3 linked regions of the Nothobranchius furzeri genome follow. The protein of the gene in region 2 interacts with the protein of the main gene of each other region in a pairwise test. Links are inferred from orthologs where the notes say so. Each region holds a gene or a part of one and is shown on either strand. Other genes may lie near its edges.

Region 1 (2,769 bases), on a different chromosome or scaffold from region 2:
AATAAAGAGGAAAAATAAAGACATATGAGTGAATACTGATGATATAAATACAATGTACAAAGATATAATATCCATCTCTTTGTCTCAGAAGTCCCCCTCACTTTAGCTTCTTTACACATTCACACACACACACACACACACACACACACGCACGCACGCACGCACGCACGCACGCACACACACACAACCAAGTTGCAGCAAGACTTGTGACGGTACGATGAGAGTGTTTAGGAGCCAGATGCTTTCTGAGATGCAGGACATGCACGAGCATGTGTGTGTGTGTGTGTGTGTGTGTGTGTGTGCGTGAGTGTGTGTGTGTGTGTGTGTGTGCGTGAGTGTGTGTGTGTGTGTGTGTGCGCGCGCGCATGCGTGTGAGGGGACAACGATGGGCTGCCTTGTGGTTGTTGTGAAGGGGCTGCAGGTCAGGGGTCAGGGACAGGTGGGAGGAGAGAGAATGGAGATACTCGTCTGTCTGGATGGGATGGACAGTCACCACAGAGAGTGTGTGTGTCGCCACAGAGCACCCTCACTGTTTTCTCTCTCTCACACTCCCGTCGTTTATTTCCTGGTCCAGACAGCTCGTCTCCCAGGCATCACTTCTGCAGCTTCATCTGTGGAGAGAACCAAAAGTCTGATATTACTACAGAACAAAGCAAGACTGCTTAGTAAACACGCCCAGTTTCATTGCTCATAGCAGACACCATCAGTTGTGTCTCTGTCACACATACCTCACATTAAGACTTTATTTAGTCAAAACTGAGAAAATAAAACCCATAACTTTGTGGGCAGATCTTAGAAAGCGTTCTCCAACATGGTTTCTTGACTCCATGTTAGGTCTGTGATGGATGAAAAACAGGAGGAGGGAGCGGAGGAATCATAATCAGCCTTTCAGCACAAGTTCATCTGCCCCTCACACATCGCTTCCCTTTAAGATCCCAAAGCCCACAAAGACGGGGTGAATGCTGGCATTCCTGCTTTGATATCAAAGGTGCCCTGGTTACTGAAAGTCTGAACAAAAGCTTTTTCATCTGGTCGGTGTGCAAATCTCCTCCTCTGCTCCCTAATAAAAGAAAAACCCACCGATGCTGAATAGAAGACCGGTGGAAACATGTCGTGTAAATTTTGTTCTGCCCCAGGGTCTCACCTGCTCATGATGCTGCTGTGATCTCCATGGACACGGGCTCGATCTCCTTCACCGCCTCCTCGATCACCTGCGCCATCACTTCCGCGCACTTTCCCGATGTTTTCTGCCCGGCTTCTGGCTCCTCTGCTGCATCTTCTCCTGAAGCCGTCTCTTGAGGTTCCTCTGGTAGCTCTGGGAGGCTGTTTTGTCTTGAAGGCTTGTCAGCTGTTGCGTTTGTGTTGTCCCCGTCAAGCTCCACCGTGGTTTCCACCTCCGCTGGCTTCTCCTCAACCACATCCGCCGACTGCAGGATCACCTGGGTCGGCATGTGGATCTCCAACACTTTCTGTGACCCATTTTCCTCCTGACCTTTGCCCTCTTCGACCATCTCTGTTACTTCCTCCTCAATAATCGTTCCTTCACTCACTTTCACCTGCTCTGCCATCTTTAAGCTTTGTTTAGGCTTCTCCTCTTCCTCCTTCTCCACTATGTTGTGTGTGACCTCCAACGGGACGGTCTCAGTGACCTCCATGGCGACAAAGAGCGCCTGCAGCGACGTTGCTGCTGGTTGTTCACAGACGACAGGAACAGGTGTGTCGGTGATGACGACACACTCGGCTGTGATTTCTATCTCGTCTTGTGTCGTCGCGGTTGCTTTGACTGGTGTTTCCGTAGCTGCTGGTGGAGCTGCTGACTTCTTGAGGTGGGAAGCATCTTCTAAAACTTTATCGACAGCTTCCGTAATCACAGCCTCTGCGATCACCACACTATGAGTCACAAGCTCGCTGCCCAGATGGACCTCTTCCGTGGCCTTTTCAATCTTCTCAGAAGCCTTCTCGACGTCGTTCTCTTTAGTTTGATGCTCCTTCTCTGGCGCAACAAGAACCACCGTCTCTATGACAACAGCGTTTCCCTCGCTTGTTACAACAGCAGGAGCAGCTGTTTTGAACCCCTCTGCGTTTTCTTTAGTGTCACAACGTGCAGATGACACCTCTTTGGCCACAACCTGACTCGCCTCCCCTACAGGAGTACTTTCTTGACTTGCAGCAAGCTGCTCCAGCTCCATTCTGACCTCTTTGATCTCCACAGTCATCTCAGCAACTTCCACCATCCGGGTGCAGACAACCGCCTCGGGCGTTGGTGCGATGGCATCGACTACCACCGATTTAGGGGAGTTCTGCTTCAGCATTGTCGGCTGAATGACCTCAGAGTTCTCGGTGCTGACCACTGCCACCTTCTCGATCCCAGGCTCGTAACTCTCGGTGGCAACTTGGACATCCACCACTTCGCTTTGCAACTTTTCAGCAACAGGCTCAAGCTCAAGAGTTTGTACTTGGTGGACATGAGCCTGGAGAACCGGGTCTTCTGTGGCTTCTGCTTTTCCTGAACCTTCTGGCTTCTCCTCTACAGCTATCTCCACGTTTGCTGCATCACTAAGGGGAGCGGAACATTCCACCGTGGGCTCAACGGGCTGCTCCAGGGTGACACTGGCGATCTCATCTGTTTGGAGGCCCGTGCAGATGGCCACGGTCTCCTCTTTCACATGTAGCTCCAGGACGGCATTTGCAGAGGACTCGGCTTCTTCTGTTTCCGGTTCCTTCTCCGTTTCAGCAGAAGCAACTTCTACTGGAACATGCTGAACAGTT
Region 2 (4,182 bases):
AGCCTGAATAACTACTGATCAAGGCAACTTTGAAATACCACTTTGGTGCTTGGAAGTAAATTATAAAGAATTTAAAGCTGATTAAGACTTTAACTCTGTACTCAATAAAGGAACGCTTACTTATCCGAGCTCCTTGCTCTAAAACCAACTCAGAAACAGGATTTTTAAAGAAGAACATCTGTTTTTCCACGTTCTCCCATAAAGACGCGGCTAGATCCGGCTGTTACAGCAGCATACCAAACCCATGAGACAAGTGTGAGAGAGGTGAAACTGCAGCACACAGATGGCTGCTTGTTGTCTGTCCTGCAGACTTTTTATCAGACTGGCCCTGAAAAGCTAGTGGGTGAACTCTAGCCCTGGAGCCTTGCCACACAGTCTTTTGTCTGAACTCCAAATCAGACCTTTTATTAAAAGTCGGATTTCAGTAACGAATTATGTCCAGAGACAGTGGGTGTTTTAACATATCACTTGTGTGCAGACTTAAAAAGTTGTTTATGAAGCCTCAACTGACAGCTGAACAGCACACAAGCAGTGCCACAGATATTTTAATCTAATCGGTAACAACAGCAGCAAAGGAGGAAACGATGGGTGGAATGACATTTTGTCCTTGTAACCATAGGGACATGAAAATATTTGTGTAAGGCAGGCTGTGGCTATTTAAGTGTGATGTAGTAAACAACCTCCTGCAGTGTGGTATTTGCTTCTGTTGTGTGTGGATGGATATAACTTGGAGAGCAGCTGTGCTTTGAGGATAAGAACCAAAACACCCACCCACCCACCCACACACACACACACACACACACACACACACAGGCAATAGGAAAACCCCTCCCTGTCTGTCCAATACCAGCTCGTCACATCACAGCAGCTTCCACTGAGCCCAGTTGGCCTATGAGCCTATTTTAACTTTGACCCTCTTTAAAGAGCACTGATCCTCCTCAGGGTGATGACTGCTGGGGCAAACCTATTGTGGCTTCGGCTGACTCCCGTCCAGAACTTTAATCTTTAGTTCCAAACAGTGGAGCAGCTGTCAAACAGGCGATCGATACGGCATGCACTGAGGATTATATCTCTGTGTCTCACTGTGGAAAAGTCCTCAACACTAGGAAAGGTCGCAGCGGGACCAGTTTGAGACTGTCTGACCCAGACTGCTACATTGTTCTCCGTCTTGTTGTGTCACACTGATCATGAAAACAACAAATTTCTAAAGCTACAGAGAGAGAGAGAGAGAGAGAGAGAGAGAGATCATGAAAACAACAAATTTCTAAAGCGAGAGAGAGAGAGAGAGAGAGAGAGAGAGAGAGAGAGAGAGAGAGAGAGAGAGAGAGAGAGAGAGAGAGAGAGAGAGAGAGAGAGAGAGAGAGAGAGAGAGAGAGAGAGAGAGAGAGAGAGAGAGAGAGAGAGAGAGAGAGAGAGAGAGAGAGAGAGAGAGAGAGAGCACAATGATTTATGTCTTTCAACGTGAACCAAGTGATAATTCTCAAATGAGATCTCCAGCTGTTAGATCACACATTTCCACTCTTTTAATGACACTATGATTTAAATACTGATCATAAACTCTCTTCTGGTTTATTCGACAAAGAACTAAAATATTACTAATAAAAAGGTAACAAATCCTCACAGTTTACTCACTTTTAGGCCTCTTATGTTGGACTACATCATAATAAACATAACTATATAATATTTGTTGGCTAATGTATCTTAACAATTCTTAAGGTTTCTAATATTTTCCAGTGAACAAGGATTGGATTAAACCCACGTGTAACTCAGTAATGCAATAAATAAATAAATAAATAAATAAATAAATTGTAAGTATGAAATTTCTCTTCAATTATAGCCCCTAGCTATATCACTCCATTTATAAAATGCTCAAATCATATTGAATAAAATGCAGAAACTGAGAACTGGGAGTAAAATGCAGTGCTACATACAAACATGCAATTAGAGAGGGATTCGTTCTGTTCAGTGAGTCAATTTGTAAGAATGATTGTTTCTATTTCATCAGACATCAAAAGATACAGAAAATAAAATTGAGTTCAGATGATGCTCTTAAATAAATAAATAACTGTCACATCTTTCTATCAAAAATCATAATTCAAGGAGCTCCACAATGTCACAGTTTTACATAATAATGAGTATAAGAAAGAAAAATCTGAGATGCATTAATATTGCTTTCATTTGTTAATTCTTAGTCTGGTTCTTTTTAAATTGCTACATAATGTTTTTTTTATGTAAAACCAAATAAAATTACTTTTAATGTATTTTTAAATACCATTTTTCTGTCTTTTTTAATTATTTCCCTGACTCTCCAAAGAAGTTTATTTGTCCTCTGTGTATAATGCTGCCCTGCCTTACAATCTGTTAAGAATATTATAGATGTTAAAATCAACTTTTAAGAGGTAAAAACTAACATGTAGAAGGGTAGGCCGTACCGACATGAGGAAACTTAACTGATTAAGTGAAGATAAAATCTGTATGTTTTTGAGTTTACATATTTTTTAATGATCAAACGGAAGACTGAACTTTTTTTTTTTAAATAAACCTGAATAAGTCATTTAGAAGGATGAGAAAATTACACATTAGATCTGTTATTACATCGAGCAATTTACTAAATCTGAGTACCTTTGTGTAATTTTACCTGAGTGTTTGTAGAAAGTCATGATTGGTTTCAGTCAGGCGGCAAAGATCAGAGCTGTAACATCCACACTGGGTAAAACCGAGAAAACCACGAGCATCATGTAGTTACGGAGGCCTGTATATACCCTTCTGTGACCCACACAAAGCCTCTGACCCCACATCCAAATCCAACCTTCACCCCTCCTATCCTTTTTAGGACATGCATTAGAGTACCAGTGGTACAAATTGGATTCCACTGCAGTAACATCAGATGTTAAAAAAAGAGAAAACACAACCTGAAGGTTTTGTCCTCTGAGGATAATAGATACTCCCTCTGCCTGAAATGAAATGTTGTGTTAGAACGTTTACAACATGCACGTGTGACATGTTGGATCGCCTTAGAGATGAACAAGTTTAAACTTGAATTTATTGGTATAAATCAGATTTATTTGTAGATTACAGTAATAGGTCAGGGAAAAGATGTTTGCATGTGAATGAAGAAAATTCTAATATGTTACACTGATAAGGGAACACATTTTCTCTAAATCATCACTTATGTTAAATTTAAGGTTCAATAGCCAAACAGACTTTAGTTGGTAGCCCAACTGTTAAAAACAAAATTCCAAACTATTGTGGTCTTTGACCTTGACTTTCAGTCTTTTAGGGAATAGATTATTGAAGATTAAATATAATAATAATAATAATAATAATAATAATAATAATAATGCATGCTGAGAGAACAAAGAAATTGCATAAGTGTGTGTATTTATTTATGTTTATGTTTATGTTTATGTATTTAGCAGACGCTTTTGTCCAAAGCGACTTACAAGTGATAATCGGCATGTTGCCCTTGAGGCTAACAACAATAGTAACAACAACAACTTGACATCAGTCATGGAGAGGAGGGAACAAGGAGTGGACAGTAGAGAGGGGGGACCGGTGCAGTGAGGGTGCTAGTTAAGAAGATGCTCTCTGAAGAGCAGGGTCTTCAGGAGTTTCTTGAAAATTGAACAGGAAGCCGCAGTTCTGGTAGTGCTTGGAAGGTCATTCCACATTTGTGGAACGATGCATGAGAAAAGTCTGGATTGTCCTGAGCGTGGTGTACGCACTGCTAGCCGACAATCCTGTGATGACCGGAGCGGCCGGGCCGAGATGTAAGCCTTTACAAGAGGACTCAGGTAGATGGGAGCCGTACCATCTCGGACTTTGTATGCTAGTGTTAGCCATTTGAATTTGATGCATGCTGCTAGCAGTAGCCAGTGGAGCTCAATGAACAGGGGTGATGTGTGCTCTTTTTGGCTGATTGAAGACCAGACGCGCCGCTGTGTTCTGGACCATTTGAAGAGGTCTCACAGTACAGCCTGGAAGACCAGTTAGAAGAGCATTGCAGTAATCGAGGCGGGAGGTGACAGTAGATTGCACCAGGAGCTGGGTGGCATGTTGTGTTAGGTATAGTATGCTCTTTTGTATGTTATACAGCGCAAAGCGGCATGAACGAGCAACAGAGGCAACATGATCTTTAAAGGTCAGGTGTTCATCAATCACAACACCCAGATTTCGAACTGC
Region 3 (4,127 bases), about 40 Mb from region 2:
TTAATTTTTTTTCTTCTCATGAAGCACCTCGTGATTTTTATATTCAGAGGCACTATATAAAAGATTGTTTTCTTTACTTCTTCAGGCAAAGTTTTATTACGATGGAAATTGTTTTTATTTTTCCAGACTTATTTAATATTAAGTTTTTAGACCCTAGTTTCCTTTTCCATAATGCAGCCCCTCCCCTACCCACCAACTGATTTTTACATTTTTGAGGTTTCTGTTTGAAATGGCATCACATTATAAAAAAAAAACATTTTTCAAGTAGTTGCTCAAAAATGTGTTTTCCTAAAATTGATAAAAACTAAAGTCAGGTGTGAGAATTGGAAGTGGTCAGGAAGGTTGGACAGAATAAAGTATTATAATTCCAAAAGCCAAGATCCTCCTATAGAAGCAGGCTTTCAGGAGGTGAAATAATCTCTCTTTCTTCATGCAGAGTTTCAGACTTTCATCATTCTGAACACTGCTAATTAATTCTACAACGGGCTATCAACAAATGTCATTCTTTTATTAAAGGATATTCTATATTCTGTAAGCATCCGTTTGCAACGATTCCCGTTAAAAATCCTTTTCAAAATTAGCTTCCCTCCCACCTCACTTGAAAACAATGTGCTGCTGGCCACCGGACCACAATCCTGCAGGGTCACATCATCTACCCGAGAGCGAGCCACGTCCGCTCGCTGTCTCATCACCGTCGAGATAATGAGAGTGGAGAAAGGTTTTGTTTTACCTCTGAGGATTCCAGTGCAGCTGACTGGGTGACAGGTATTTGCAGCTGTTGGCCCTGCTGGCACGCAGACAGAAAGGCTCACAGAGGCTCAAATGAGAGCCAAACTGCCGGCACCCCCCTTTTTTTTTACCTTATATAAACCCTTACGATGCAACCAAAGATAACCTGATGGCTTTGATGTTTTTCCTTTGTCTTGTGATGTTGTTTGTGGCCTTTTGTGCCTATAAATAGAACAAAAGTGTTCTGGGGTGACAATTAGCTGCTGACAGATCTTCATTCTTTTAAGACAAGTTTTATTCATGACGTGCTATCCATCAACATGCAACAACATTTTCAGAGGACAGCGTGCAGGGAGAGTGATAGAACGTGGAGTTGAGGACACAAGTCAGTCGTCTGCTGGCGCTCAGAAGTTGTAAACAGTGAGAACAACCCTGTGAGCCCTGTGGGTACAAGGGGCAGACGTTTAATAGGGCGGCACCTGACCTCTAAGCGATCCATCCTGAATGGAAAGTGGCAGGGAGGTGTCTGTTTTGGTGAGCAAGAAGGAAGAGGAGGAGGGATTGGGCAGTGATGGAGGGAGATGGCAGAGAACAAGGCACAGGGATTAAAAGTCTGCTCATTCTGAACTATTCCAGGGACAAGAATCCAATTCCCAAAAGACCGGCAGACGACTGAGTGAGTCCATCATTTCTCGTTGGAGAGGAGGATGTCCAAAACAGCAGCAACACTACCTCCGCCCTCTTCTCCTTCAGCTGTTCAGACTCATTTAAAGAACAATACTTTCCCACTCATTTATCTGTTGGTTTGGTAGCTATTTATGGGAAGTGTCCTTTTTTGCTGTAGCTTTGTCTCCGGGGTGGGTCGGGATGTTTATGGCAGTGGATGAGCACCATTAGGGTGCCTGTACTTGTACTGTAATCTGGTTCATGAACAAGATTTTGTGAAATGACTCAAGGAGAGGATGAAGACATTTTATAGTGCATTAAAATGTTAAGGGCTCAAATAACCCTACTCTAGGACCCACAGACGTATCTGTGTCAGGAGCTGCCTCCTCCCCTCCAAAGACCAAACAATACATTCTGTTTGCTCTACATGGTCACGCCCGAGTGGATAACAGCTGATCTGACGAGGAGGCCAGGCATAACACCATGTTGTACTGACAGACACAGGTGGATTAAAGCAGAGCGGTGATGGACGTGATTGTGCAGGTGAGCAATATTAGAAAGGTTCAACAAGAGGGCAGGGTCAAAGATGCTGAGGATGGCTGAATTTTGACTCGAGTTTTGGCCCGGTACGAGACAGCTCTCTGGACCATATTAGACACCACAGAAGCATTTAGGAGTTTCATCCCTGCTTGGCGTCTTCCTAACTGCATCGTCCTTTCTGCGGCTCAGCCCTCATCGGCATGCCTCCTCCTCATCATCGCGTCTTTCTCCGGCTGGATCTATCTGATGTGCAAACCCCTCAAGTAACAATACCGTCCATCCGTAGACCTCCAATCTTTTCTTGTACCCAAGATGGCAGAGACGCGCATGGTTCAGTAATACAATACCACTGTCAAAGTCACTTTGAGGATTCCTATGTAAAAGCTGGCAGGCGAGTCCCAAAGTGATGGATCTCCCTGCAGCCAGGAGCAACTGGCTCTGCTCCCTTCAATCAACGACGTATTAACAGCAATAAAGTCTCCATTCGTAGGAGATCACACATCCTCACTTTCTATTAAATCTTCTTTGTTCTTACAAATGAGTAAATACTATCAGAGTATATTTTGCTCTTTCTTTCTTTTTTTTTTTTTGCATACTTTGAAATCTCCTCATGAGTCAACCAAGTTTCCTACCTTTCTTTGTGGGCTCTGGCATCTTGAGCCGCAAGGCAAGAAAACTGTCAGGGATTCAGAAGGAGCGGGGTAGATGTGGTCAGAGCAGTGCGACTTGAAGGCGTCTAGAGCCCTCTCAGTCCAAGAGGGACAGAGATGCAGCTGGAAAAACAAATCTTGGATCCCTCGCACCGCGATGAGTGAAGCTGAGGAGGATGCAAGGTTTGGGAATCTGAGTTGGGGAACAGAGGTGGACCAGTGACAGATCCAGGGGGGGACTGAGCTTTAGGGCTTTTATTTGAGAGCTGGCATGCTCCTCCTCCTCCTCCTCTCTGTGGTGGAGCTCTGTGTAAAAAATTACATCATCAATTCATCCATCAGTCTGCACAATACAAAATTTGCTGGTTTGTGTTTTAGCGGTGAAACAAATATCAAAGAACTGGAAACGCCCAGGGAGCTGAAGGCAGTTTGTACTTTTGAAATCCCATTTCAGATTCTAAATCAAGACTGAAACCTTTCTTTTGCTTTTCCAAATTAGTTTTTAAAGTAAACCTTAAAAATGGCTGACAATCACAATCACACTTGTTAAAGGAGACCCTTCCACTGTTCTTTATGAAACAACAGCAACTCCAGCAGCAAATAAAAAATAAAACTCGTGTTCTTTAGAAAAACATCCTCTCACTGGATGCCAAATCCGGAGAATGGGATATAAACGGAGAATGTGTTGTCGTTGCCGCAGGTCTGAGGATGATGCAATGCTCTTCTGTGGTTACTCTCAAGTGATTGGCAGCACAAACTCACACAGTACTTGAGCTGTTTTTCCTCCTTAAAGAAAAGTTTGATGTGAGGAACTGAGGTCTATTCCTGATGGATTTAATCCATTGGTAATGCTGCCCAAGAACAGCAGGCTTATCAAACTGGCAAATGGAGGCTAAAGGACCTATACATAGAAAGCTGTCATAAACCTTGACATTTGACTCGCGCATCTCAAATAAATTTGGATTTATTAAGAATTAAGAGGCTATTTTAGTCAAATTTCAGCTCTTTGATGAGAAACCAATGAGGGTGAAGATGCTGGCTGCTGTTGGAGCAACAACAGTCTTAACTGGTCATTTTAAAAGAATACCAGTAATAGCCAACGGTTCAGTTAAGTCAGACATGTATTTCATTAAGGCTGTTCATAAGGAGACCCCTTCCAAAACAATTGTCTGTGTTGTTTTGTTGCTTTTTTTGGTCACCCCCTTCCCCCCACTTCAGCCCATTTATATCCAGAAGTGGGCTCCGGGCTTAGGGAAATGTCACGTGGAGCACTAAACCATTTGGTGCTGCCCGAGACACCAGTGAGCTGACATCACAGCGGAGGTTTAGCCATTAGATCACAGCACAGAGAGGAAACTCCAGGAGGAGCTTCGAGAAGGAGAACACTGACACCCTCTGGTTTTCGAAGCACTCGTCAGCAGGTCGAGGGCAGGTCAGGCCACCGAGCAGAACCTGCTGTTTCTGTGTGAAGAAGCAACAAATCAAAGCTTTTTTTTATTTTAATATCAAAATCACACGTCCAGGGTCCCTACCAAGTATGTT

What was found.
Region 1: the proteins of fhl1a (region 2) and akap12b interact in binary tests that used the Homo sapiens proteins (3 or more experiments, as listed by UniProt). The link is inferred for Nothobranchius furzeri from reciprocal best matches to the Homo sapiens genes FHL1 and AKAP12.
Region 3: the proteins of fhl1a (region 2) and mybpc1 interact in a two-hybrid assay, tested with the Homo sapiens proteins (2 studies listed by BioGRID and IntAct). The link is inferred for Nothobranchius furzeri from reciprocal best matches to the Homo sapiens genes FHL1 and MYBPC1.

The regions. Positions count from the first base shown.
Region 1 is NC_091742.1:2,886,966-2,889,734, forward strand, and holds the end of akap12b (A-kinase anchor protein 12b), read right to left. Parts: coding exon 1,149-2,769; 3' UTR 1,145-1,148; intron 612-1,144; 3' UTR 557-611; downstream 1-556. UniProt on the Homo sapiens protein: Anchoring protein that mediates the subcellular compartmentation of protein kinase A (PKA) and protein kinase C (PKC).
Region 2 is NC_091741.1:82,973,553-82,977,734, reverse strand, and holds the start of fhl1a (four and a half LIM domains protein 1a), read right to left. Parts: upstream 2,886-4,182; 5' UTR 2,661-2,885; coding exon 2,639-2,660; intron 1-2,638.
Region 3 is NC_091741.1:43,201,502-43,205,628, reverse strand, and holds the start of mybpc1 (myosin-binding protein C, slow-type), read right to left. Parts: upstream 2,803-4,127; 5' UTR 2,590-2,802; coding exon 2,568-2,589; intron 1-2,567. UniProt on the Homo sapiens protein: Thick filament-associated protein located in the crossbridge region of vertebrate striated muscle a bands. Slow skeletal protein that binds to both myosin and actin.